Saccharomyces cerevisiae S288C: one gene and its partners. Changing the gene in region 2 together with the main gene of any one other region gives a genetic interaction. Each region holds a gene or a part of one and is shown on either strand. Other genes may lie near its edges.

Region 1 (5,066 bases), on a different chromosome or scaffold from region 2:
AATACAGTTCAAGAGGTTGATATAGCTAAGTGGGCATGAAGGTTATGAATTGTAATTGGAGGTGCGGCAAGTGTGCAAGACGGGTAAAGGAGAGTATAGAACGATGTCTGCTAAAGTTCCATCTAACGCCACGTTTAAGAACAAGGAAAAACCTCAAGAGGTTCGCAAAGCCAACATCATCGCTGCACGTTCTGTTGCAGATGCCATCCGTACTTCATTGGGTCCCAAGGGTATGGACAAGATGATTAAGACATCTCGTGGAGAAATCATCATCTCTAATGATGGCCACACCATTCTAAAACAGATGGCCATTCTGCATCCGGTGGCCAGAATGCTAGTAGAGGTTTCTGCCGCGCAGGACTCGGAAGCCGGTGATGGTACCACTTCTGTGGTGATCTTGACCGGAGCTCTATTGGGTGCTGCTGAGAGGCTGTTAAACAAGGGCATCCATCCAACCATCATTGCGGACTCCTTTCAAAGTGCTGCGAAGAGATCTGTCGATATTCTTTTAGAAATGTGCCATAAGGTTTCGTTGAGCGATAGAGAACAGCTGGTTCGTGCTGCATCCACTTCTTTGAGTTCCAAGATTGTGTCTCAATACTCTTCGTTTTTGGCGCCCTTGGCAGTGGACTCCGTATTGAAGATATCTGATGAAAACTCTAAGAATGTTGACCTGAACGATATCAGACTGGTCAAAAAAGTTGGTGGTACCATTGATGACACAGAAATGATAGATGGTGTGGTCTTGACACAAACGGCAATCAAATCTGCTGGTGGTCCGACAAGAAAGGAAAAAGCAAAGATTGGGTTAATTCAATTCCAAATATCTCCTCCAAAGCCCGACACAGAAAATAATATCATCGTTAATGACTATAGACAAATGGATAAGATCCTTAAAGAAGAAAGAGCGTATTTGCTAAATATCTGTAAAAAAATTAAAAAGGCCAAGTGTAACGTGCTGTTGATTCAGAAATCCATCTTGAGAGATGCGGTAAATGATTTGGCTCTTCATTTCTTGTCAAAATTGAACATAATGGTGGTAAAGGATATCGAGAGAGAAGAAATCGAGTTTCTGTCGAAGGGCTTGGGTTGTAAGCCAATTGCTGATATAGAATTGTTCACCGAAGATAGATTGGGTTCCGCTGATTTAGTTGAGGAGATCGATAGCGATGGTTCCAAGATAGTTAGAGTAACTGGTATAAGAAACAATAATGCAAGACCAACCGTCTCTGTTGTTATTCGTGGTGCAAACAACATGATCATTGATGAAACAGAGCGTTCCCTCCATGATGCACTATGTGTTATTCGTTGTCTAGTGAAAGAGAGAGGTTTAATCGCTGGTGGTGGTGCTCCAGAAATTGAAATATCCCGTAGGTTGAGTAAGGAAGCAAGGTCTATGGAAGGTGTACAGGCTTTTATTTGGCAAGAATTTGCCTCTGCTTTGGAAGTTATTCCAACGACTTTGGCTGAAAACGCAGGTTTGAATAGTATCAAAGTTGTCACAGAATTGCGCTCTAAGCATGAAAATGGTGAATTGAATGACGGTATCTCTGTTAGACGATCTGGTACTACGAACACCTATGAAGAACACATCTTACAACCCGTACTTGTTAGTACAAGTGCAATTACCTTAGCGTCTGAATGTGTTAAATCCATCTTACGTATTGATGATATTGCATTCAGCCGTTAACATGGGTTTCCCAGTATCCATATGTTTATGCATATATACATATATATGTTGATTTAGTGTATTTTCCACTACATAAAAACTAAAAAACATTCAAAATGAAAAGTCAGGACCCTTTTCAAAAAGGATCGCAATTATACTATTTTAAAAGTTTAAAAGCGTTTCTCTTTAATGCGTAGGATACTCCGCTCATTATTGTGGTCGTGGCGGTTACATACCCTAAATAGCTAAAGGCCTTTTGAAAGTCCTGTTTTCTATCTTCGAAATCCTCCTCGGTTTTTTCACAGCCCTCTTCTTTCTCATATAAAAGTAATAATACTCCAGATCCAAGATATACCATTTGGAAAAACGTGTTCCATTTTGATAGTTGGGAAGGTCTGACCTCAGCGCTGGGATAGCGAACAATATCCCAATAGGAATTCCATGCCACACGACCAGGATATTTCAACTTTAAAGTGCTATATCGTATAAACAAAGCACTTATGGCTAGTAGCACATCTCTACCCAGAATTATCGCCGCAATAGATACCGGTATAATCTGAGGGCCGGATGGTACAGATAATGCCAAAGTTGTTGTGATCATGAGTAGTTTATCTGCAAGTGGATCTAATATGGTTCCTGCAATGGTTTTCAGGCCGTATTTTCTTGCTATATACCCATCCATAAAATCAGTGATGCTGGAAAATGCAAACAAACCTAATGCTGGGGTCAAATTATTCGTTATAATGAAGAGTCCGATAAAGGGTGTACATCCTATTCGTGATAAAGTCAAAATGTTGGGAATATTGAGCAACTTGCTCTTTATATGAGGAGTTTTACTCGGATTGGTAGCATATTCCCTCCTAGTGAGATCTCTGAAAAGATTGTAATTTAATTGCGGGTTTACCTTAAAGCGTACAGTTAACCCTGATAACACATGATAGAATGGCCTTTTCGGTATAGTTCTCCGAAGTAATGCGGAGCATGAATAAATGGGCACCATTTGAATCATTGACTAAATTATTAGGGACCAAACTATGCTACCAGGCCTGCTTGTTTCTCAATTGCCTCCTTTCTATATTTTTTCAATTGTAAATATTGTATACTCCCGATTAAGAGGATGGCTTCATGAATCGAGCTTTTTCACACTCCAGTTTCGGAAATAGTCGCCGCACAATGATTCGAAGACATGACTGTGAAGTGTTGGTTGACATTTAATATGGTTTCATGTAAGAGATCCCAGAGCTACGGACTTGGCTTTTTCTTCCTGTAATTGTTTGCCAAACGTTGGGTAAACGCACATATAAGTATATTTTACTTTCCTTCTCCCTTCGTCAGTTTTTCTTTTGCTGTAATATATTGTTCTCAAAAGTTGTTTGGTATACAAAAGTGCAAGGTTTTTACTGGTTGTTACAGGTTCAGAGTTCCAATAAAGAAGATATTAGAACGATCTTATCAATATTATCCAATTTCAACTAATATGAATGTATTAGTCTATAATGGCCCAGGGACTACGCCAGGATCAGTTAAGCATGCTGTTGAAAGTTTACGTGACTTTTTGGAACCCTATTACGCCGTCAGTACTGTCAATGTTAAGGTATTACAGACAGAACCATGGATGTCAAAGACCTCCGCTGTAGTTTTTCCTGGTGGTGCCGATCTTCCTTACGTTCAAGCTTGTCAACCCATTATTTCTCGATTGAAACATTTTGTTAGCAAACAAGGTGGTGTCTTTATCGGATTTTGTGCAGGAGGTTACTTTGGCACCAGCCGTGTAGAATTTGCTCAAGGTGACCCTACAATGGAAGTATCAGGAAGCAGGGATTTGCGATTCTTTCCGGGAACAAGCAGAGGACCTGCGTACAATGGATTTCAGTATAACAGCGAGGCCGGTGCACGTGCAGTTAAATTGAATCTTCCAGATGGCTCACAGTTCTCAACTTATTTCAATGGAGGAGCCGTTTTTGTTGATGCAGATAAATTTGATAATGTCGAGATCTTGGCCACGTACGCAGAACACCCGGATGTGCCTTCTTCTGACTCAGGAAAAGGTCAAAGTGAAAACCCAGCTGCTGTAGTGCTATGTACGGTCGGAAGAGGAAAGGTTTTACTCACTGGACCACACCCTGAATTCAACGTCCGTTTTATGAGGAAATCCACAGATAAGCATTTTCTTGAAACCGTTGTGGAAAACCTGAAAGCACAGGAAATCATGAGGTTGAAATTTATGAGAACGGTTCTTACCAAAACTGGGTTGAATTGTAATAATGACTTCAATTATGTAAGAGCTCCAAATTTGACACCACTGTTTATGGCTAGTGCACCTAATAAGCGGAATTACTTGCAAGAAATGGAAAACAACTTAGCTCATCATGGAATGCATGCAAATAATGTTGAACTCTGCTCAGAATTAAACGCCGAAACTGACTCTTTCCAATTTTATAGAGGCTATAGAGCCTCTTACGATGCAGCAAGTTCGTCCTTGCTTCATAAAGAGCCAGATGAGGTTCCTAAGACCGTAATATTTCCTGGCGTAGATGAAGATATTCCACCATTTCAATATACGCCCAATTTTGACATGAAAGAATACTTCAAGTATCTGAATGTTCAAAACACCATAGGTTCTTTACTTCTATATGGTGAAGTTGTTACATCAACGAGTACCATATTGAATAATAATAAATCCTTATTAAGTTCGATCCCTGAAAGCACTTTACTTCACGTGGGTACTATTCAGGTTTCTGGGCGTGGGAGAGGTGGTAACACTTGGATTAATCCTAAAGGTGTTTGCGCATCAACGGCCGTCGTAACAATGCCGCTTCAATCGCCTGTGACTAATCGAAATATATCAGTTGTTTTTGTCCAGTATCTTTCTATGCTTGCTTACTGTAAGGCGATACTTTCGTACGCTCCTGGATTTTCAGATATTCCTGTTAGGATCAAATGGCCCAATGACCTTTATGCTTTGAGCCCCACCTACTATAAGCGTAAAAACTTGAAATTGGTTAACACCGGTTTTGAGCATACAAAGTTGCCCTTAGGTGATATCGAGCCCGCTTATCTTAAGATCTCTGGTTTATTAGTTAATACCCACTTCATAAACAATAAATATTGTTTGCTACTTGGCTGTGGTATAAATTTGACTAGTGATGGTCCTACAACTTCATTACAAACTTGGATTGATATCCTGAATGAAGAACGCCAACAATTACACCTTGATTTATTGCCAGCAATAAAGGCAGAAAAGCTGCAGGCACTCTATATGAATAACCTTGAGGTCATATTAAAACAGTTTATTAACTACGGAGCTGCGGAAATATTGCCAAGTTATTATGAGTTGTGGTTACATAGTAACCAAATAGTAACATTACCAGATCACGGAAATACGCAAGCCATGATT
Region 2 (3,637 bases):
AAATCCCTTTTATTCTCCCGCTTTTTTCTGTATTTATGTAACTTCAAGATTTTTTTTTCTATATTTGATATAAACTTTAATAGGGTTCTTCTTTTCAGAAGTTTATCAATTGCTTAAGCCTCCTTTTGTTGATCAACAACAATAAAGGCTTTATTATCGTAAATTTTCCTACAGCATTTATTCTTCATAGAGCATACCGTTATAATTTCACCGTCTTTTCACTACGCTCATAAAGAGAGTACAGTTATACTGCTGCAACCCTAGCATGTATCAAGCTGTGCTGCTTATACCTATTTTGAAAGGGCCATTCCTTCTTTTGCCATTCCTTTTTCGTCTATTTTCCTAAATAGCTTCCTTAGCCTCACGTTTTTTTGTTCGCTTTCAAGAGATGGTCACCGTTCTCTAACTGATAAGGAAAAACGTTTCAGCCAGAACTTCCTATATAGAAATATTCTGAAAGCTATCGAGTAAAGACTCAGGAAATTGCCAAAACGTTATGAGCTACAATTATTTGAAGGCAGCTAGAAAAATTATATGCATTGGGCGTAATTACGCAGCGCATATCAAAGAGCTGAACAATTCAACTCCAAAACAACCGTTTTTTTTCCTAAAACCAACCTCGAGTATTGTGACACCATTGTCTTCATCATTGGTCAAGACCACTAGACCTGCAAACTCGACTTTCAATGGTTTAAATGAAGACGGAACTAACCCCGGGCCCATTTTTATCCCACGCGGTGTGAAGGTTCATCACGAAATTGAGTTGGCATTGATTGTGAGCAAACATTTGTCCAATGTCACTAAGATGAAACCCGAAGAAGTCTATGACTCTATTAGTGGTGTAGCTCTAGCATTGGATCTTACAGCAAGAAATGTCCAAGATGAAGCCAAAAAGAAGGGGCTACCTTGGACTATAAGCAAGGGTTTTGACACCTTCATGCCAATCTCTGCTATAGTCTCCCGCGAGAAGTTCTCATCCTACAAATCAAACTTACAGGATATTTTCAGAGTCAAGTGCTCTGTTAACGGACAGTTGAGACAAGATGGTGGTACTAACCTCATGTTGCACCCACTCCATAAAATACTGCAACACATATCTACCATGATATCTCTGGAACCGGGTGATATCATTTTGACTGGTACACCTGCAGGTGTAGGCGAGTTAAAGCCTGGTGACCGTGTTCACTGTGAGCTATTGCAGAATAATGACAATATTGTCGACATGAACTTCGAATGTGAAAATCGGCCGGGACCATATGAATTTAGAGAAACATAATGTCTGTCGCATTCACGCTTGTCGCAGATAACACGTTATGCGTTACTAATTTCCTACAAGCTTGGCACATATACGACCAATTGTGCTTCTGTATACGCTACGCTATGTAATCACATATCACATGCAGGGTAACCAGCACCTTTTTGGTGTTTTTTCAAATCTCGAGGTCAAGGGACATCTAAAGCAGGCACAAGCATGTGGAAAATTTGTTCTTCACCTATAATATAAAACAGCTTACTCACAAAAGAGACGCCTAGAGGTACGTAGCGCTTTAAGGACTCTTCAGCCAGTTGTTAGCAGATCGCTCAAATCCTTCTTGGTCGTTATTTTTTGAAGAAGAAGGAAAAGCAAAGCCAGCATGTCAATTATGCCAGTTAAGAACGCCTTGGCGCAAGGGAGGACGCTCCTCATGGGGAGGATGCCTGCTGTAAAGTTTTCTACAAGAATGCAATTAAGAAATAGAACTGCGGTGCTATGGAATAGAAAGTTTTCCACGCGTCTTTTCGTTCAGCAACGACGCAGTTCTGGAGAGATTGTGGATCGTGCCAAAGCTGCTGCCGCAAATAGCGGAAGAAAACAGGTCTCCATGAAATGGGTTGTTTTAACTAGTTTCACCATTGTTCTAGGAACCATTTTACTAGTGTCAAGGAATGATAGTACAGAGGAGGATGCTACAGAGGGCAAAAAAGGGAGAAGGACAAGAAAAATCAAAATATTTAACAATAATTGGCTCTTTTTCTGCTATTCTACTTTACCGCTGAATGCGATGTCTCGATTATGGGGCCAAGTAAATTCTCTTACGTTACCCATTTGGGTTAGACCATGGGGTTACAGGTTATATTCTTTCCTTTTTGGAGTTAACTTGGACGAGATGGAAGATCCTGATTTGACACATTATGCAAATTTATCCGAATTTTTCTATCGTAACATAAAACCAGGCACACGTCCAGTAGCACAAGGCGAAGACGTTATAGCTTCTCCAAGTGATGGAAAGATTTTACAAGTTGGTATAATCAACTCTGAAACTGGCGAAATCGAACAAGTCAAGGGAATGACATATTCCATCAAAGAATTCCTTGGCACTCACTCCCACCCCTTGATGTCTAAGAGTGCATCTAGTCTAGATTTGACTTCTGATGAGGAAAAGCATAGAGAATTCGCCAGGGTAAATAGAATACAATTAGCGGGTTCCGAAGACACTGAACAGCCTCTTCTTAACTTTAAAAACGAGGGCGATCAATCTGTTCGAGAGTTCAAACCAAGTGTGTCCAAAAATATACATCTTTTAAGTCAACTTTCTTTAAACTACTTCTCTAATGGGTTTTCGTGCTCTGAGCCTCATGATACGGAACTTTTCTTTGCCGTCATTTATTTGGCTCCCGGTGATTACCATCATTTCCACTCTCCAGTTGACTGGGTTTGTAAGGTTCGCCGCCATTTCCCAGGTGATTTATTCTCCGTGGCACCTTATTTCCAGCGTAACTTCCCTAATCTTTTCGTTCTAAATGAAAGAGTTGCTTTGTTGGGTAGTTGGAAGTACGGATTTTTTAGCATGACTCCTGTTGGTGCAACAAATGTTGGTTCAATCAAGTTGAATTTTGATCAAGAATTTGTGACAAATTCAAAGAGCGACAAACACTTGGAACCACATACCTGCTACCAGGCAGTATATGAGAATGCAAGTAAAATATTGGGAGGGATGCCTTTGGTTAAGGGTGAAGAAATGGGTGGCTTTGAATTGGGTAGCACTGTTGTACTTTGTTTTGAAGCTCCCACTGAATTTAAGTTCGATGTTAGGGTTGGTGATAAGGTTAAGATGGGACAGAAATTAGGCATAATTGGAAAGAATGATTTAAAATGAAAGCAATCATATGTAAAGTTAGCATTTATTTTGCTGTATATAGTATTATCTGCACACTTTGATTTAATTCTTCTTTTGGAGGTATGTAAAATTATACGCTGTACATTTTTCAGATTGGACTTGTTAGATGTAAACTTTAGATTAAAGATGTTCGTCTGAAGAATTTTAGCCATGTCATGTACCCCTTTCATAAACCAAGTTATACACAAAGATTACACCTTACCCCAGTTTTGGAACCTTTTAAAGCTAGTCTTAGATACCCAAATAAATATTCTTGAGTTTTGCATTATTCATCATGTGGTCCAAAGCTTTTGTACCACAATTCGAGTTGGCAATCCAAAATATCTCCACTGTTTTTATCTGAACACAGCAAACCTAAATTATAAGATTCTGAATCCGTTAATGCTGTATTATTTCCTGCACTCAAAAGAGTATCGAGTTCCACCATTGTCAAATCTTGAATACCCAAACTTTCAACCAGTTGCGAAGAGGTGGTATTT
Region 3 (7,921 bases), on a different chromosome or scaffold from region 2:
CTTTAAGTTTAACTTTTGCTCTAAGGTGTTTAATAATAGATATTTGGTTTCGTTCCAACGTGGATTTTTAACATTTGATTTGATAGATGTACGCACTTCTTCATCTGTACCAGGCACAGCATCTTCGGTAGTCATAACAATATAAGGATCGACAGTATTGGTAATGAAATCTGAGCCTTTCAAAGAGTCGGCAGAAGCAATGGTTACGGCAAGGACACCAATAGCTTCTTTTGATTGAGCAGCCATAATGTCTTCAACATTAATATCCAAATGGTTCGGAGGGAATAGCATAGGCCCTATATTGGAGTTGATAATGTTTTTAACAAAACTCTTCAAACCAGGCAAGAATGACATAACATCAAGACCTAAAGTATCACCACCAATTGGTTTCAGTGCGAAATCAATCAAAGGTGGTTCTAAAAGTTGTAAAGAAACAATTTTGATATTTGGGAAAGCTTTACCAAATTCAACTTTAATACGCATTTTACCAGCAACGTTAATGTCTTCAACCAAAATAGGCATTGTTTTAGAGACAAAACTTTTTCCTAACGTGACACCCAGAGATATTTTTGGATTGATCTTCTCCCTAGCTTCAGTAGCTGTCATATCCGAGACATCGCTTGGGGTGAATGCAAATGACCAATCCATTTCAACAGTGTTTTTACCAGTCTTGGTGTACGATTTAATACCTTTTATGGTGGGAGCTTTAGAGCCCAGAGTGAATTCATCGATAGCTAACGCATCGATACCGTAACCTGGAGCAACACCTGCCAGTTGAGGGTTAACGTTATCTTTGACTTGTTGAGATAAAACTGGCATGTAAATCACCCAAAATTTTGATAAAAATGAATTCAACCACGTAGTGGATTCAACGCGATCCGACAAGGTTTCTTCGACTGTAACTCTTTTCAAGTCATCTCTGATATTTCTGTTGAATCTTGTATATTCTGCGTTGTAAACGGTCGCAGTTCCCAAGAAGATAAATATCATAGACCACCATGAAAACCCAATGTAAGCAAATAACCATGAGAAGAAACAAGTTCCAAGAACGGTGGCTATATTACAGTACCAATCGTTATAAAAATTTTCCAGAATGTAAGCTTTTATAACCCTGGACATCTTTGTATTTGGCGAACCCTTTCCTGAAGCATGGAACTCACCAACATTTTGCCATGGAAATAACTTGTCGTCGGAATCTAGGTGAAATTTTTCCTTAATATCCTTTTCATCAAGTTTGCCTAAGTCGTCTAAGACGCCAGGCTTAGTAATCGAAGTGTCGAATTTATTTGGCTTCCTAGATGGTGCTGATCTGAATTCCTTCGGACGTAAACCTTCCAATGGCACGGCTCCTATGCTTCCCTGTGGGTTGGGACCGGGCAATTGATTGGTTTTTTGAGCGCTGGAGGCAACAAATATGTCTTTTGATGACTGTTTCTTACCTTCCGGGTTGGAGTCAGCAGTTTTCTGACCTTTAGACACATCAGAAACTGAATTTGAGGTCTTTGTGTCATTTGCGTCATGGTTAATCAGTTGGTGGTATTGATGGTGACCCGATGGAGCGTGATCAGAACCCCTTTCTTGTTGATTTATGACCTTTTGAGGTAAATTGCCTCCTACTTTCTTCTTCTCCTCCTCATGAAATAGGGTACTATCAGGTGGGGGATGGACTTGAGCTTTGATGCCAGTCATTTTTCTTGACTTTCAATGCGTAGCTCTACTTATTTTCTTTCTAGCAATATTGCGTATGTCAATAAACAAAGCTAGCTAATGATGCTCTTTATATTGTTAAGAAGAAAACTGATTAAATTAAGTAACGCTAAAAAGCAAAGTTGTCTATCAAAGTGAAATGTATCGCAATTGGAAAAGGTAAGTGCAATTCTAAAGGATGTAAGGTACAATTATCCCTTTTTCCCTTTCTGACTGCAGCAGTGTGTTGTAAAGGTATACATACATTCTCGTATTGTTGTTTCTCCCCCTTCTCGCGCTGGCGAAGAAGTGAAAAAAAAAAATAAAAAAATGGAAATTTCGGACGATCGTCATTTTGAAAATACATAGTGAGCCAATATTATACTAGGAGTATATATATTTAGAGGCCAGTTCTGCTCTCTTGTCAATTGCCCGGGCGAGCTGCTCGGTCGTAAACAAGCTAGTGTCATTGATTTTTTTTAGGAAGAGGTGGTGGTAGTTTCGATTCAGGTCGCAAAGACGGAATGAACAGTACACCAACTGCAGGCAAACGGAGTCACTCAGCTTGATGCTATTTAACCCACGAGTGAGGTCTTTTAATACGTATGTTATGCACTTATCAACGAATTGCAACATGACTGCATTTGTAGGTATTTTGTTTTCCCTTTTTGAAGTCCGAATCTTTTTGCTTGGCTCCTCTGGGGTCACTTCAACCTTATTAATTTCTTCTTCTTCTTTTTCTGCCTTGTTATCTATGCTTTTGCTTGGCTCTTCTGGGGTCACCTCAACCTTATTAATTTCTTCTTCCTCTTTTTCTGCCTTGTTATCTTTGGTATTTACTTCTTCCTCTTTTTCTTTTTCAGCCTTGTCTTCTGTTTTGTTTACTGTTTCATTTTCTATCTCATTTTCTGTTTTCCTTTCTGCTCCATCATCTTCGCCTTCCACTTTGCCTTGTACTTCCTCTTGTACATCTTCTATCGATTTATTTTCTGTCACATCTTCTTCATTGTTCGCTACGCTATCTTGTTTTTGATATTCTTCCTTCTTTGTTTCTTTCTCCTTTTCTTCAATTTCTTTCTCTTCGTTAGTCCCATTTATCCTTAGCACAGTACTTTCTAGTTCCTCTGGGAAAGGAATCTCTAAGTCATTTGTATCATACAAGAAGCTTTTCAGAAAGACATTCAAGGACATGTAGACATGTTCCCTGAGGACTTCAATTTTCCTCTTAACCATCATTTCAATTAAAGATTCATTAGAAGACTCAACGTCCAAAGGATATGATGCTATTTCATCGGTAATGAATTTGTATCTCATGGCTAAAAACACACTTAATAATGATTTATTAGTCTTTCCATCAAATGGTGGAATTGAATTCAAGTACTGTAGTATTTTCTTTAGTGAGTTTACTGATACATTAGTAGACAGTAATTTTACCAGCCCGGATAACATGGTAGTACTAATTTCGTTTAAAACTTTTTCGCAAACTTCATCCACAATGGTTGAACCAGGGAATCTTGACCTCAGGGAAGTAGTGTGTGTGTATAGCATGACGGCCTCCTGGTAATGACCTGTTCTGATACATGTGCGGGCCAAAAATGGTAGTTCCATCAAATCCGTAATGCTATCCAAATTTTCTAGTACAGTGACTAATGTGTCAGATCTAATGTCGTCCTTGTCATCTTCTTTAGTTGAAATTCTGTTTCTTAACCTACTTAATGCCTTGTGAAACTCATCCTCCTTCTTCTTTCTTGCCAGATTGTTACTCTCAGTCGTCATGATGCGACCTGTGTCGTTGTCTTCTTTATCGTCTTCCAAAAAGTCATCAATAGAAACGCTTTCATTGTTTATATCGTCATTTGTAACGTTTCGATCGGCTGCCTTATTAATATTAGTATCCAATTCCCATAATTGCTCCAAAGACTTGGCTATATCATCCAATTGAGCCCTATCATCGTTTTCAAGAATATTTCCGATAATCTGAGACGTATTATCTAGTAGTGTTTTCCTTATCTTTCTATCAAGGGCAGATAATTCAGCATCAATTTCTGCTATGTCTTCAGTTATGCTACCAGGAACAGCCCTAGATGAAAAATAACTTTCATAGTCTTTCGTGTTAGATTGTAGGATATCCTGTAGGAAATCAAGACTTAACCGTTTTTGTTCCTCTGTTAAATCATCAGAAATGAGGCTGTTTAGTATCAGCTCCATTTTACTCAATGATTATGTTTATTGTTGAAATATGTTCCCTCAAATGTCCTAACACTTCTATGATTATTTTTTCTGTGCTTCTCTTTTCAGTATGTTACTACGCTATATTTTTAGACATTGAAGCCATGATCGCGAGATCGATCTAATGTACGTATAAAAAGAAAATGGACTTCAAGAGTACAACTAACTAAAGGAAAATCCAACTCTTCCTATAAATTTAGAATTAGCATATTCAAAAAAGAAGAAACAAAGCACTCACGATGGGGGTCGAACCCATAATCTTCTGATTAGAAGTCAGACGCGTTGCCATTACGCCACGCGAGCTAAATTTCTTGAATTGTTGGGTAAACAAATATTACTAATACAAATGTTATTAGAAACCAAAAATGCACTTTTCCGGGGTTAATATATATGATTGAGTGATGGATGAAGAATGAGATAATTGTTTAAATTCTATAGTTGTCAAGCGCTGTGATACCAGATACACAAAATGTACTAGAGGTTCTCCTCGAGAATATGAAAATCCACAATAGAGAACCGATATTTCTGTGTAGGAATATTATTATTTCTTCTTTCATTTTGTATGTTCTCGTTCATTTTCCTAGCACATTATCAACCCTTTCATTTCAATTTCCATTAAAATTGGTGACTGTTTCTCAATATTTATTTGACCGTCTTATACCCAATATGGTAATATACCAGTAATATAAATACTAGTCGTTAGATGATAGTTGCTTCTTATTCCGAAAATGAGTATGGAAGTGTTGCATATGATAGGGCGGCTACAGTGATGGTAAACATAAGATACTTTAGCGGGAAATTAGCAACTGGAAGTTAAATTATCTAGACATAAGTGTGGCGGTCACGCTGAACGCAGGAGATCGGATAGATTGATAAGCTGATCAAGAACATTGATCGGTTTGTTGTTTAAAGAATGGTTTTTGAAAACGTTTGACCAGTTGCTTCTCCCAGACGCTTACCGATATGATGATAAAGATAATATCTTCAATTGAATACCCCGTGGATCAGCACGAATAACAGAAAAAAAGGGTGAAATTCACCGTAAGCATGATACGCACTACGTTCTTCTTACCTTTGCCAACGTGTTGTCTTTGACGTACGTAATTATGGGAGATCGTTGATGATTAGCCCCAGCTCACTTTCTTCTTAATGACTGACCCGCTACTATCAAAATTAAGGTGTCAAATATCATGATGAATGAGGTCTCTAGGCGACTCAATTATACATCTTTTAGAGATTTTTTTACTACTTGCAGATAATTTCTCAAGGGATTAGATTCAAATCTGGCTTGTCAATTACGCCCTTTTCAAGCTCATCAAATTGCGTATGTCATTCATGCTTCCATTAGGAACCATAGAAGCATGGCTGAAATGGCAATATACGGCTTCCCAATTTCAACTCTAAAGTAATGGCGGTCGAATTTAATCTATATTTTACAGTTTTATACGTACTTTAAAAGCAATCAGTAAACACCTCTGGTGCTATTCAAGGGTTTTTTGCCTTTATTTGTTACTGTCAATTGTCTGGCGCTGTGATAAAAAACAAGGCATAAAGCTCCCCCGTCATGAACATTAAGACTCGCTAGACGAGAGAGTGAAATATAATGCATTTCCTGATTTAAATGCGCTACAAACATGGTGTAAATCTGGCCCGGAGTGAGTGCTTGCCAATTTGGCTTCTAAGGGAGAAAGATCAAACCACTCCCAATTGCGTCATTTTGAAAGAGTGGCCACCTCGCGAGCGTCTGTCGAACTAACTGATGAATAAATATATAAGGAGAAAATCACTTCAACTTCGCTACAAGTAGTCACTATTTGTAGCAACTGTAAACGAACACATCAAAGAATAAGATTACATTCTATATCTAAGACTAAATTTTAAATGTCCGCTAAATCGTTTGAAGTCACAGATCCAGTCAATTCAAGTCTCAAAGGGTTTGCCCTTGCTAACCCCTCCATTACGCTGGTCCCTGAAGAAAAAATTCTCTTCAGAAAGACCGATTCCGACAAGATCGCATTAATTTCTGGTGGTGGTAGTGGACATGAACCTACACACGCCGGTTTCATTGGTAAGGGTATGTTGAGTGGCGCCGTGGTTGGCGAAATTTTTGCATCCCCTTCAACAAAACAGATTTTAAATGCAATCCGTTTAGTCAATGAAAATGCGTCTGGCGTTTTATTGATTGTGAAGAACTACACAGGTGATGTTTTGCATTTTGGTCTGTCCGCTGAGAGAGCAAGAGCCTTGGGTATTAACTGCCGCGTTGCTGTCATAGGTGATGATGTTGCAGTTGGCAGAGAAAAGGGTGGTATGGTTGGTAGAAGAGCATTGGCAGGTACCGTTTTGGTTCATAAGATTGTAGGTGCCTTCGCAGAAGAATATTCTAGTAAGTATGGCTTAGACGGTACAGCTAAAGTGGCTAAAATTATCAACGACAATTTGGTGACCATTGGATCTTCTTTAGACCATTGTAAAGTTCCTGGCAGGAAATTCGAAAGTGAATTAAACGAAAAACAAATGGAATTGGGTATGGGTATTCATAACGAACCTGGTGTGAAAGTTTTAGACCCTATTCCTTCTACCGAAGACTTGATCTCCAAGTATATGCTACCAAAACTATTGGATCCAAACGATAAGGATAGAGCTTTTGTAAAGTTTGATGAAGATGATGAAGTTGTCTTGTTAGTTAACAATCTCGGCGGTGTTTCTAATTTTGTTATTAGTTCTATCACTTCCAAAACTACGGATTTCTTAAAGGAAAATTACAACATAACCCCGGTTCAAACAATTGCTGGCACATTGATGACCTCCTTCAATGGTAATGGGTTCAGTATCACATTACTAAACGCCACTAAGGCTACAAAGGCTTTGCAATCTGATTTTGAGGAGATCAAATCAGTACTAGACTTGTTGAACGCATTTACGAACGCACCGGGCTGGCCAATTGCAGATTTTGAAAAGACTTCTGCCCCATCTGTTAACGATGACTTGTTACATAATGAAGTAACAGCAAAGGCCGTCGGTACCTATGACTTTGACAAGTTTGCTGAGTGGATGAAGAGTGGTGCTGAACAAGTTATCAAGAGCGAACCGCACATTACGGAACTAGACAATCAAGTTGGTGATGGTGATTGTGGTTACACTTTAGTGGCAGGAGTTAAAGGCATCACCGAAAACCTTGACAAGCTGTCGAAGGACTCATTATCTCAGGCGGTTGCCCAAATTTCAGATTTCATTGAAGGCTCAATGGGAGGTACTTCTGGTGGTTTATATTCTATTCTTTTGTCGGGTTTTTCACACGGATTAATTCAGGTTTGTAAATCAAAGGATGAACCCGTCACTAAGGAAATTGTGGCTAAGTCACTCGGAATTGCATTGGATACTTTATACAAATATACAAAGGCAAGGAAGGGATCATCCACCATGATTGATGCTTTAGAACCATTCGTTAAAGAATTTACTGCATCTAAGGATTTCAATAAGGCGGTAAAAGCTGCAGAGGAAGGTGCTAAATCCACTGCTACATTCGAGGCCAAATTTGGCAGAGCTTCGTATGTCGGCGATTCATCTCAAGTAGAAGATCCTGGTGCAGTAGGCCTATGTGAGTTTTTGAAGGGGGTTCAAAGCGCCTTGTAAGTACTTGGCTCACGAATACATATCAAGATACTTATGATATATATATATAGAAAAAGCTTACTTTTCTTGGAGTTATTGTTATTATCATCGCGAAGAACGATTGTATAACCCGGTTCAACGCGAAACGAATCGTTAAACTGGTGAAATGTTAACGCGAGTGTCAGAGATATACATAGTATGAGAGTAGCTAGATGTTGAATCGGTGGTAAGAACAAGAAGGAAATACCGTTAACAAGTGAAGGAACAATCTAGTATTGTTGAACAAGAATTATGAGTACCGACTTTGATAGAATTTACTTGAACCAATCTAAATTTAGCGGTAGATTCCGTATTGCTGATTCTGGGTTAGGGTGGAAAATTAGTACCAGTG
Region 4 (7,380 bases), on a different chromosome or scaffold from region 2:
TACTGTGCCTATACTTCATTCAGTTTTTACTACTGCCCATAATTAATTTACAAAACTGGATTTCCTTACTCATTGGTAATTCGTTATATTGTTTTGCTATTGGCCATTACTTTATTTTAACCTTTTATGGATACAACCAGTTGCCATTCTTGAAAAATTTGAACTTTATACTTTTACCAACATTAGGATTATCGATAATCTATTTAATCAGTTTATTTGGCATCGACTTATCCAAGAAATTAAGCTTTTACAATTATTAAGCAATTGAACACGGAAATAGAAAAAATTTGGTTCTTTAAGATAAAGCACATAAATTACATAATGATATTATTATTATATATATTTGAAGTATAAAAATGCAATGAGTAATAAGAGCAATAATGACACTATGGACCAAAAGAATGCATAATGAAAACTGTTTATGTATCAGCGTCGAATGCTTATAACAGATAAAAGGAAAATACAGGTAATGGTGTGTTCCTGGTCGTTTTTATATTCCCTTAATTGTAGATTTCCATTGGAGAAAGTCTATCCGAGTTAAAAATCCAATTTCTACTCTCAACTTCTTTAGCTAACCATTCGGTTGGGAAAATGACCAAATGACCGTGGATCCTTTCCAAGATTCTCTGCGCCGTATGTTTGTCAAAAACCTTTTGATTGAATCCATAAAGCAAACTACCGGATAACTTCATTCTCAATTCAGCGGCTTTTCTCATTTTTTCCTTTTCCCTATCCTTATCTACAACATTTGTAGTAGTAGAATTAATATTTTCAGCCTCTAAGTCAATCAACTTTTCCTGGTTTATTTGAAATTCTTGTTCTAATTCAGTAAATTCTCCATATTCTTTCCAATTTTGTACAGCATTATCGGGTTGACAATGAAACACTAATTTATAGAGTAATGTATTTCTCAAGGCTATAGTGAACCATAGCCCTTCAGAAAACGAAGAAATAAGAGGATCCTCGAAGGAATACGGGTCAATGAAGTTGAGTTTCAATAACTCTTCTTTTTTTGCGTCATCAATTTCACCACTGTTAAAGTTAGTGATCTTAGGAATTATCTGAGAAAGTAGATCGTCCAGTGAACCATCATCTAGTTCTTGATTTTTCAAAATATCTTCGTGCAATCTATGATATTCATCGCCTTCGATATCTTGGTCGACATTAGTGCTTTCTCCTTCATTGCTCTTTTCGTTTAATGGCAGACTATTAGACCCATTTCTGGTACTTTCTGTGCTTGAACTTAAATGTCTTCTCATATCTTTGATTTTCTTCAATCTCTGTGTTTTTCTTTCGTCGAGTTTATGAGATAAATATTGCAAGTAGCATATCCTTTTGAGCATACTCCATTTGTTTCTATTGGTAACAGTTTTATCCGTGAGATACATTTCTAGATCTTTCTCATTGGGCAAATAATTTGAAAATCCTTCTGGAATTTCTGATTTTATCATTTCTTTATCGTCAAGAACTTTCGAGGCCAATGAGTTCAATGCCCACTCCTTTAGCTGTTCAGTTGCATCGGCCTTGAATTTTTTGTTGGATTCCTTTTTCCAACAATCGGGACCGTAGCCATCAACCTCTTTTTTATGTTCATCATTCTTTCTTAATCTTGGATCAGTACTTAAGACTTTGTGGTCTCGTATACCGACATTTTCAATTCCTGCCCTGTGGTTGAATGTTAGCCCTAAAGATGCAAAATTATGTTTGGGCAGAGGCGTTCTCTTACGTGATGATTTACCGTAGTCCACAGAATTGAAGAATTTTTCATAAACGTTTTCATCTTCTCTTCCCACTTCTTTTTCATTTATGCCACACTGAGTGCTTCCATCATCAACACTGTTTCCATGACCACTCTTCCATTGAGGGCTAAATTTACAACCAAATATTTCACGATAACCTAGCTCAATCATAGCGGAATCGATCATTTCTCGATCGCTCCAATTGTTACCACTATCTCCCTCCTTACTTAGGGTATGAAGTTTTTCATAATTCTTTGCAGCAAACTTTTCAAACCTTTCAAATTTCTTTTCAACAAACTCAACAAGATCTACATCACAACCTAAATGTTCCCTCATTAATCGCTGCCTTAATTCCCAAGGAAATTTTCCCGCGTAGTAATCGTCACCATTCATTTTGGTCTTTATCAAGTCGGTGTCTCTAATAAGAATTGCCACCTCACTATCTCTATTACCCAGTTGTGATCTTTCGTTAATATTAGCAGACCCTATAATACATCTTCTGTCATCAGCAATCAGAATTTTAGCATGAACGTAGAGCTGCTCGGTGATTAATCTTTCATTAGGCGCAAAAGTCGACCATTTTCTTAGTGAAAAGAACTGAATATATTGAGCTGGGTCAATATTTAGTTTCTTCAGTTTACTAAATGTAGAATGTTCACCTCTTGAAATTGATTGATATTGGAATTGCATAATTAAACGAAGACTTGAGGCTTCTGCAGTATCTACTGGAGAATCGAATCCTGGCATTAGTGGGATAAGAATAAAGGCTTTCCAAGGTTTTTTCTCCTGATTAGCTTTGACTATCCTATCAACGAGAGCATCACCAATTTTATTCAAAACGCAAGTCCCGTTCCAGACAGTTGATGTAATGAAGAATTGATTCTCAATATAAATAAAGTGTTCACTTTGTTCAATTAACTTCAGGTAAGCATTTTGAATTGAGCATTCCGTTTCCTTTAGCCCAAGAGACCAGTTCCCAGCACTTCTAAGTATTTGAGTTTCACAAGTCGATTTTTCGCGTAGAATTTCGAACATCGGCAAACTCTTCAATTCTTCAGCAGTTAAATCTGAAGGCGGGGTTAGTAATGGAGTTAACCTACTAGGTCTCTTAGCTCTCAATAAGTAATTCCATCTTTGAACAAAATGTCGGGCTAAGTCTCTTGCTGGCTCACCCAAAGTCATCATTTGCACATCATGCCATGGCATCCTCGGAATGACTTTTCTATCATACATTGATTCGAATGGTTTATCTAAATCATGAAAATCAGCAATTCTGGCATTTGAATAATCCTTACCAGGAAAATTTTGATCTAATAAAGATTCTGCATCATCTCGTAGAACGTGTTCAAAAGTATCATATCTACCATAACATAAATCTGTACCACCAATAAATGCAAATGTTTCATCAATAACGACAAACTTCTCGTGGTGTGCCCAAAAATATGTATTTTGTAGCCATTGATTGGGAGACCTTATGATATGTATATTTGGATGTAAATTTAGCATAGAATGCTTGGTCCAAAGACTATCTGTCCCAACAATATTCCCCACATTCCTATAAATCACAATAAAAATTTTGATACCTTTTTCTGCACAACTTTTCAGCATACGATCAATTCTAAATCCCTGGTTGCCTTTCACCGGACGTCGCAAGTATAATTCAGGGGATAGCCACCAATCATGGATATATATGACATCCTTTGCCATTAAGAGGGCCTCGCTTAACGACCAAAAATAATCACGCCCATCTACCAAAAATTTGCAAAACGAATTTGTTCTTACAGGTGCGAAACTACCAAATCTATTTGGTTTCGACCAAGGTGTTGAGGTAGACATTTTGATAATTGAACTCATCCATTGCTTTAACGAACTCTCTGATTTGCAAATAATTTTCAGTTTCCTTTCACTGTTTTCTAGGGTCAATAATAATAGTTTTGAAGATATATTGGACTTCTTTTGGTGTGTTTTCGATTTTCCATTCTTGTCTAGGATATTATTGGCATCATTTTCAATACCGAACTCTTCTAGTTCGTCATTTATTTCTAAATTGGGATCATGAATGATCCAGTTGATCTCGTTTTCGTTATCAAGTATGTTATTCTTGTTCCCAGAAAATCTAACCTTAAATTTCCAATCTATTAAGAATACGTCTAAAGGAGTTGTCGAAGAAAGATCCGACACGTAAGTTAGGTAAGAATTTCTTACCAGGAACCATTTGGTAGTATGTCTGTCGATCATGTCTTTAAACGCATGTTTACCAAAATGAGAAACTCTCCAACCTTGGGCCTTGGCAGTAGATCTAATTACTAAATACCCCTGTTTGCCCTGGAACCCACTTTCACGACTTAATAAATTGCCTAAGGGAGATAATTCGTAAAATTCAAACAATCTATTTGCATGAGGTCTCAAACATAATGCAATGTTCAGTAGTCTCAAATACCTTTCTAGCCTCAAATGTATCGGTTGGGAGAAATCGTCAGGTTCGTCAATTAAGTCTTGTAAATGTTTCATTTTGACGTTATCTATATTAAACTCAGATATTTCAGAAGATGATAAAGTTTCTAACGATGTAATGTTGCTGCCATTATCGTTATTGTTATTTTCCGATGTATGAGGAGCTGAGGCTGCAGAGGATGGTTTATTTTCTGCTTTTTTCTCCATTACATTTCTTTCTTTAACCATTTCTTTATAATGGGGGAAATGCGGAAGTTGTAACGAATGATATCTGTTGTTATCACTATAAAGCTTGCTTATAGTGAGTTGTTGGAACGCGACGATTTTCAATTTGTGATGTAGTGATTTGATATCTTTATAACTTCTTATAATAGACCATTTGAGCCTGTCTTCATCAATCCCATATTCCAAGTGTATTCTAAATAAAGAGTTTTCGTTCCTGCTATACATAAATTCCGCCACATTCGAAGAAATGCTTATAATGCTGGAGCTCCTTGGAATAGAGGGTCTCCTATCAGAATTCTCGCCAGTATTGTTGTTGTTGTTACCACGATGGTTATGGTTGCTATTGGTAATATCCAAAATGTTGTTGTCATTTTTCAAGGGAGACACTCTTACATCTAGTTTAGCTAATAGCAGAGGAGCCCTTCTCTTCCCATGTTCGTCTCTCAGAAATTGCGTGCTTGCGAACAATGAGGCCGGGCATCCTGCCAATAACGAATCTAATAAATCAGAGGCTAGTCTTTGTGTGTACAAATCTTCTTCGTTTACTTGTTGATGCTGGTGCTGGTTATGACGATGGCCGCTTCCAGCCGGTGTAGGAGAATTTACGCTGGATTTCAGTCTACCAATAGCAGAGATTTTCTTAAAAGCGTGGCCAAACTCTTTCTTCCAGCCATTGAACTGCTGTTGGGTGTAAGCTACAGAAGAAGAACGCCTTTGAGGGGCTCTTTCTTCCTCTCTTTTAGAATTCCGCTTAGAATGAACATTATTGTTACTGCTATGGAGATTGTTGTAGAGCCGGTGCATATTTTCCTCATCAGAACCTCGACGAGGATCATGTTCATTAGAGTGCATAATATGGTCTAATGAGTGGTTCGGTGACACATCACTCAGGTTTCTATCTACAAAGGATTTGGGCAATGCATGCTTCCTCTCCGCCTCCTTGCCGTTGGGAGTTCTTCGTTTTTCTCTTTGTAAACTGCTAGTCAGATTGCCATTCTCAGGTAATTGCCGCAATACTTCTTGGTTTTCTAACTCATCTGGTCTCGAATTTACTCTATCTACTTCTTCAGTCACCGATCTATCTGCCTGAGGTGGAGCGAAGTGAGTTCCAGACGCTGTTGACACGTTAGACATCACCCTTGTTTATCTATCCTACCTTTTCTTCTTGCGTACGTGCCTCTCAATGCGTCGTGTGAATTATCAGTGACCGGTCGTGCCTATAATGTCCTGCTAATTTCCCACTAAATCTTTCCCCATGGCGTATTCATCGTTATGTTTGTGTCTTTTGTTCAACCCAAAGGGCTGTAGCAATCTTCACCCGTTTGTCGTTGATAACGAGTTTCCACCTTATCACTTATCACTAGTGCTAATCAAACAGCAAAGAATGCTTGATAGAAACCGATCCTGGGCTTATCTCGCTGCATTGTGGCGGCATCCCTGGACTGTAATCAGCAAGTGTTGCTTAGTATATATATACATCCAGCGTCAGCTTGAATTTGGATACAGTTACTGTTTTTTCGATTTTCTCTTGGTTATTCTTTCTGAGACAGTAGTAATTTTGTATTACTGAGCGGGATATTGTTTATCTGCCGTCATACTATATTACATTATATTATATCATATTATATATAAGAGAATGGTGCTTAGTGATTCGTTGAAGCTGCCCTCGCCTACACTTTCAGCTGCTGCTGGAGTGGATGATTGTGACGGAGAGGACCACCCCACGTGCCAGAATTGTTTCACTGTCAAAACGCCCCTATGGAGAAGAGATGAACACGGTACTGTTCTCTGTAATGCATGTGGCCTCTTCCTGAAGTTGCACGGGGAACCAAGGCCTATCAGCTTGAAGACGGACACCATTAAGTCAAGAAATAGGAAAAAGCTGAATAACAACAATGTGAACACTAATGCCAATACCCATTCTAACGACCCAAATAAAATATTCAAGAGAAAGAAGAGACTGCTTACAACTGGTGGTGGTTCATTACCTACGAATAATCCGAAGGTTTCTATTCTGGAAAAGTTTATGGTGAGCGGGTCCATTAAGCCACTGTTAAAACCAAAGGAAACCGTTCCCAACACAAAGGAGTGCTCCACGCAGCGGGGAAAATTTTCTTTGGACCCCTGCGAACCTAGTGGGAAAAACTACCTCTATCAGATCAACGGTTCAGATATATACACGTCAAATATAGAGCTGACAAGGCTGCCTAATTTGTCAACATTATTAGAACCCTCACCTTTTTCAGATTCCGCTGTACCAGAAATAGAACTAACTTGGAAGCTACATAATGAGGAGGAGGTAATCAAATTGAAGACCAAGATAAGCGAATTGGAGTTGGTGACAGACCTATACAAAAAGCACATATTCCAACTGAACGAAAAATGCAAGCAACTGGAAGTGGAACTACACTCCAGAGCTTCAGTACAATCTCACCCACAACATTAAGAAAGGATGTAGCGTTCATGACAGTATAAATATAACAGGATATAGTATATAAAATTTAATATGATTTAGTGACACTTATTTTTACGCGAACGGGTAACACACTGCCATTTATCTGGTGCTGGAAAATTGCCCCTAAAGAAATGATAAGAATGAAAACGAATCAATGTGAAAGCAGTTTGATGAGATGTGAGCTACTTTGAAAGTATAGGAAGTCAGACATCGCACTGAGAAATGTCACGTAATTCTGCAGCAGGTTTGGAAAACACTCTTTTCCAACTAAAGTTTACATCAAAACAATTACAAAAGCAAGCCAATAAAGCCTCAAAGGAAGAAAAACAGGAAACTAATAAGCTCAAACGTGCTCTTAATGAAAATGAAGATATATCTCGTATATATGCATCCAATGCTATAAGAAAGAAAAATGAAAGATTACAACTGTTGAAGTTGGCATCACGGGTGGATTCGGTCGCATCAAGGGTACAAACCGCCGTCACGATGAGGCAGGTGTCAGCATCA

What was found.
Region 1: mutations in PSD1 (region 2) and CRD1 together harm fitness more than expected from each alone (negative genetic interaction), as found in Saccharomyces cerevisiae (9 studies listed by BioGRID, with this or other methods).
Region 3: mutations in PSD1 (region 2) and COG8 together harm fitness more than expected from each alone (negative genetic interaction), as found in Saccharomyces cerevisiae (5 studies listed by BioGRID).
Region 4: mutations in PSD1 (region 2) and SPO14 together harm fitness more than expected from each alone (negative genetic interaction), as found in Saccharomyces cerevisiae (5 studies listed by BioGRID).

Annotation. Positions count from the first base shown.
Region 1 is NC_001136.10:199,893-204,958, forward strand, and holds CRD1 (cardiolipin synthase), read right to left. Parts: upstream 2,679-5,066; coding exon 1,827-2,678; downstream 1-1,826. Other genes in the region: chaperonin-containing T-complex subunit CCT4, read left to right, coding at 104-1,690; biotin--[acetyl-CoA-carboxylase] ligase BPL1, read left to right, coding at 3,147-5,066. UniProt on the Saccharomyces cerevisiae protein: Catalyzes the synthesis of cardiolipin (CL) (diphosphatidylglycerol) by specifically transferring a phosphatidyl group from CDP-diacylglycerol to phosphatidylglycerol (PG).
Region 2 is NC_001146.8:315,669-319,305, reverse strand, and holds PSD1 (phosphatidylserine decarboxylase 1), read left to right. Parts: upstream 1-1,634; coding exon 1,635-3,137; downstream 3,138-3,637. Other genes in the region: FMP41 (Fmp41p), read left to right, coding at 497-1,276; APC1 (anaphase promoting complex subunit 1), read right to left, coding at 3,424-3,637. UniProt on the Saccharomyces cerevisiae protein: Catalyzes the formation of phosphatidylethanolamine (PtdEtn) from phosphatidylserine (PtdSer). Plays a central role in phospholipid metabolism and in the interorganelle trafficking of phosphatidylserine.
Region 3 is NC_001145.3:127,679-135,599, forward strand, and holds COG8 (Golgi transport complex subunit COG8), read right to left. Parts: upstream 3,895-7,921; coding exon 2,071-3,894; downstream 1-2,070. Other genes in the region: TCB3 (Tcb3p), read right to left, coding at 1-1,689; DAK1 (dihydroxyacetone kinase), read left to right, coding at 5,797-7,551; FACT complex subunit POB3, read left to right, coding at 7,822-7,921. UniProt on the Saccharomyces cerevisiae protein: Acts as a component of the peripheral membrane COG complex that is involved in intra-Golgi protein trafficking.
Region 4 is NC_001143.9:500,844-508,223, forward strand, and holds SPO14 (phospholipase D), read right to left. Parts: upstream 5,553-7,380; coding exon 501-5,552; downstream 1-500. Other genes in the region: GMH1 (Gmh1p), read left to right, coding at 1-260; YKR032W (uncharacterized protein), read left to right, coding at 5,674-5,988; DAL80 (Dal80p), read left to right, coding at 6,055-6,864; DID2 (Did2p), read left to right, coding at 7,096-7,380. UniProt on the Saccharomyces cerevisiae protein: Required for meiosis and spore formation. Seems to be involved in the coordinate induction of late meiotic events. PLD activity is induced under sporulation conditions and seems to be necessary to complete the meiotic cycle, but not for vegetative cell growth.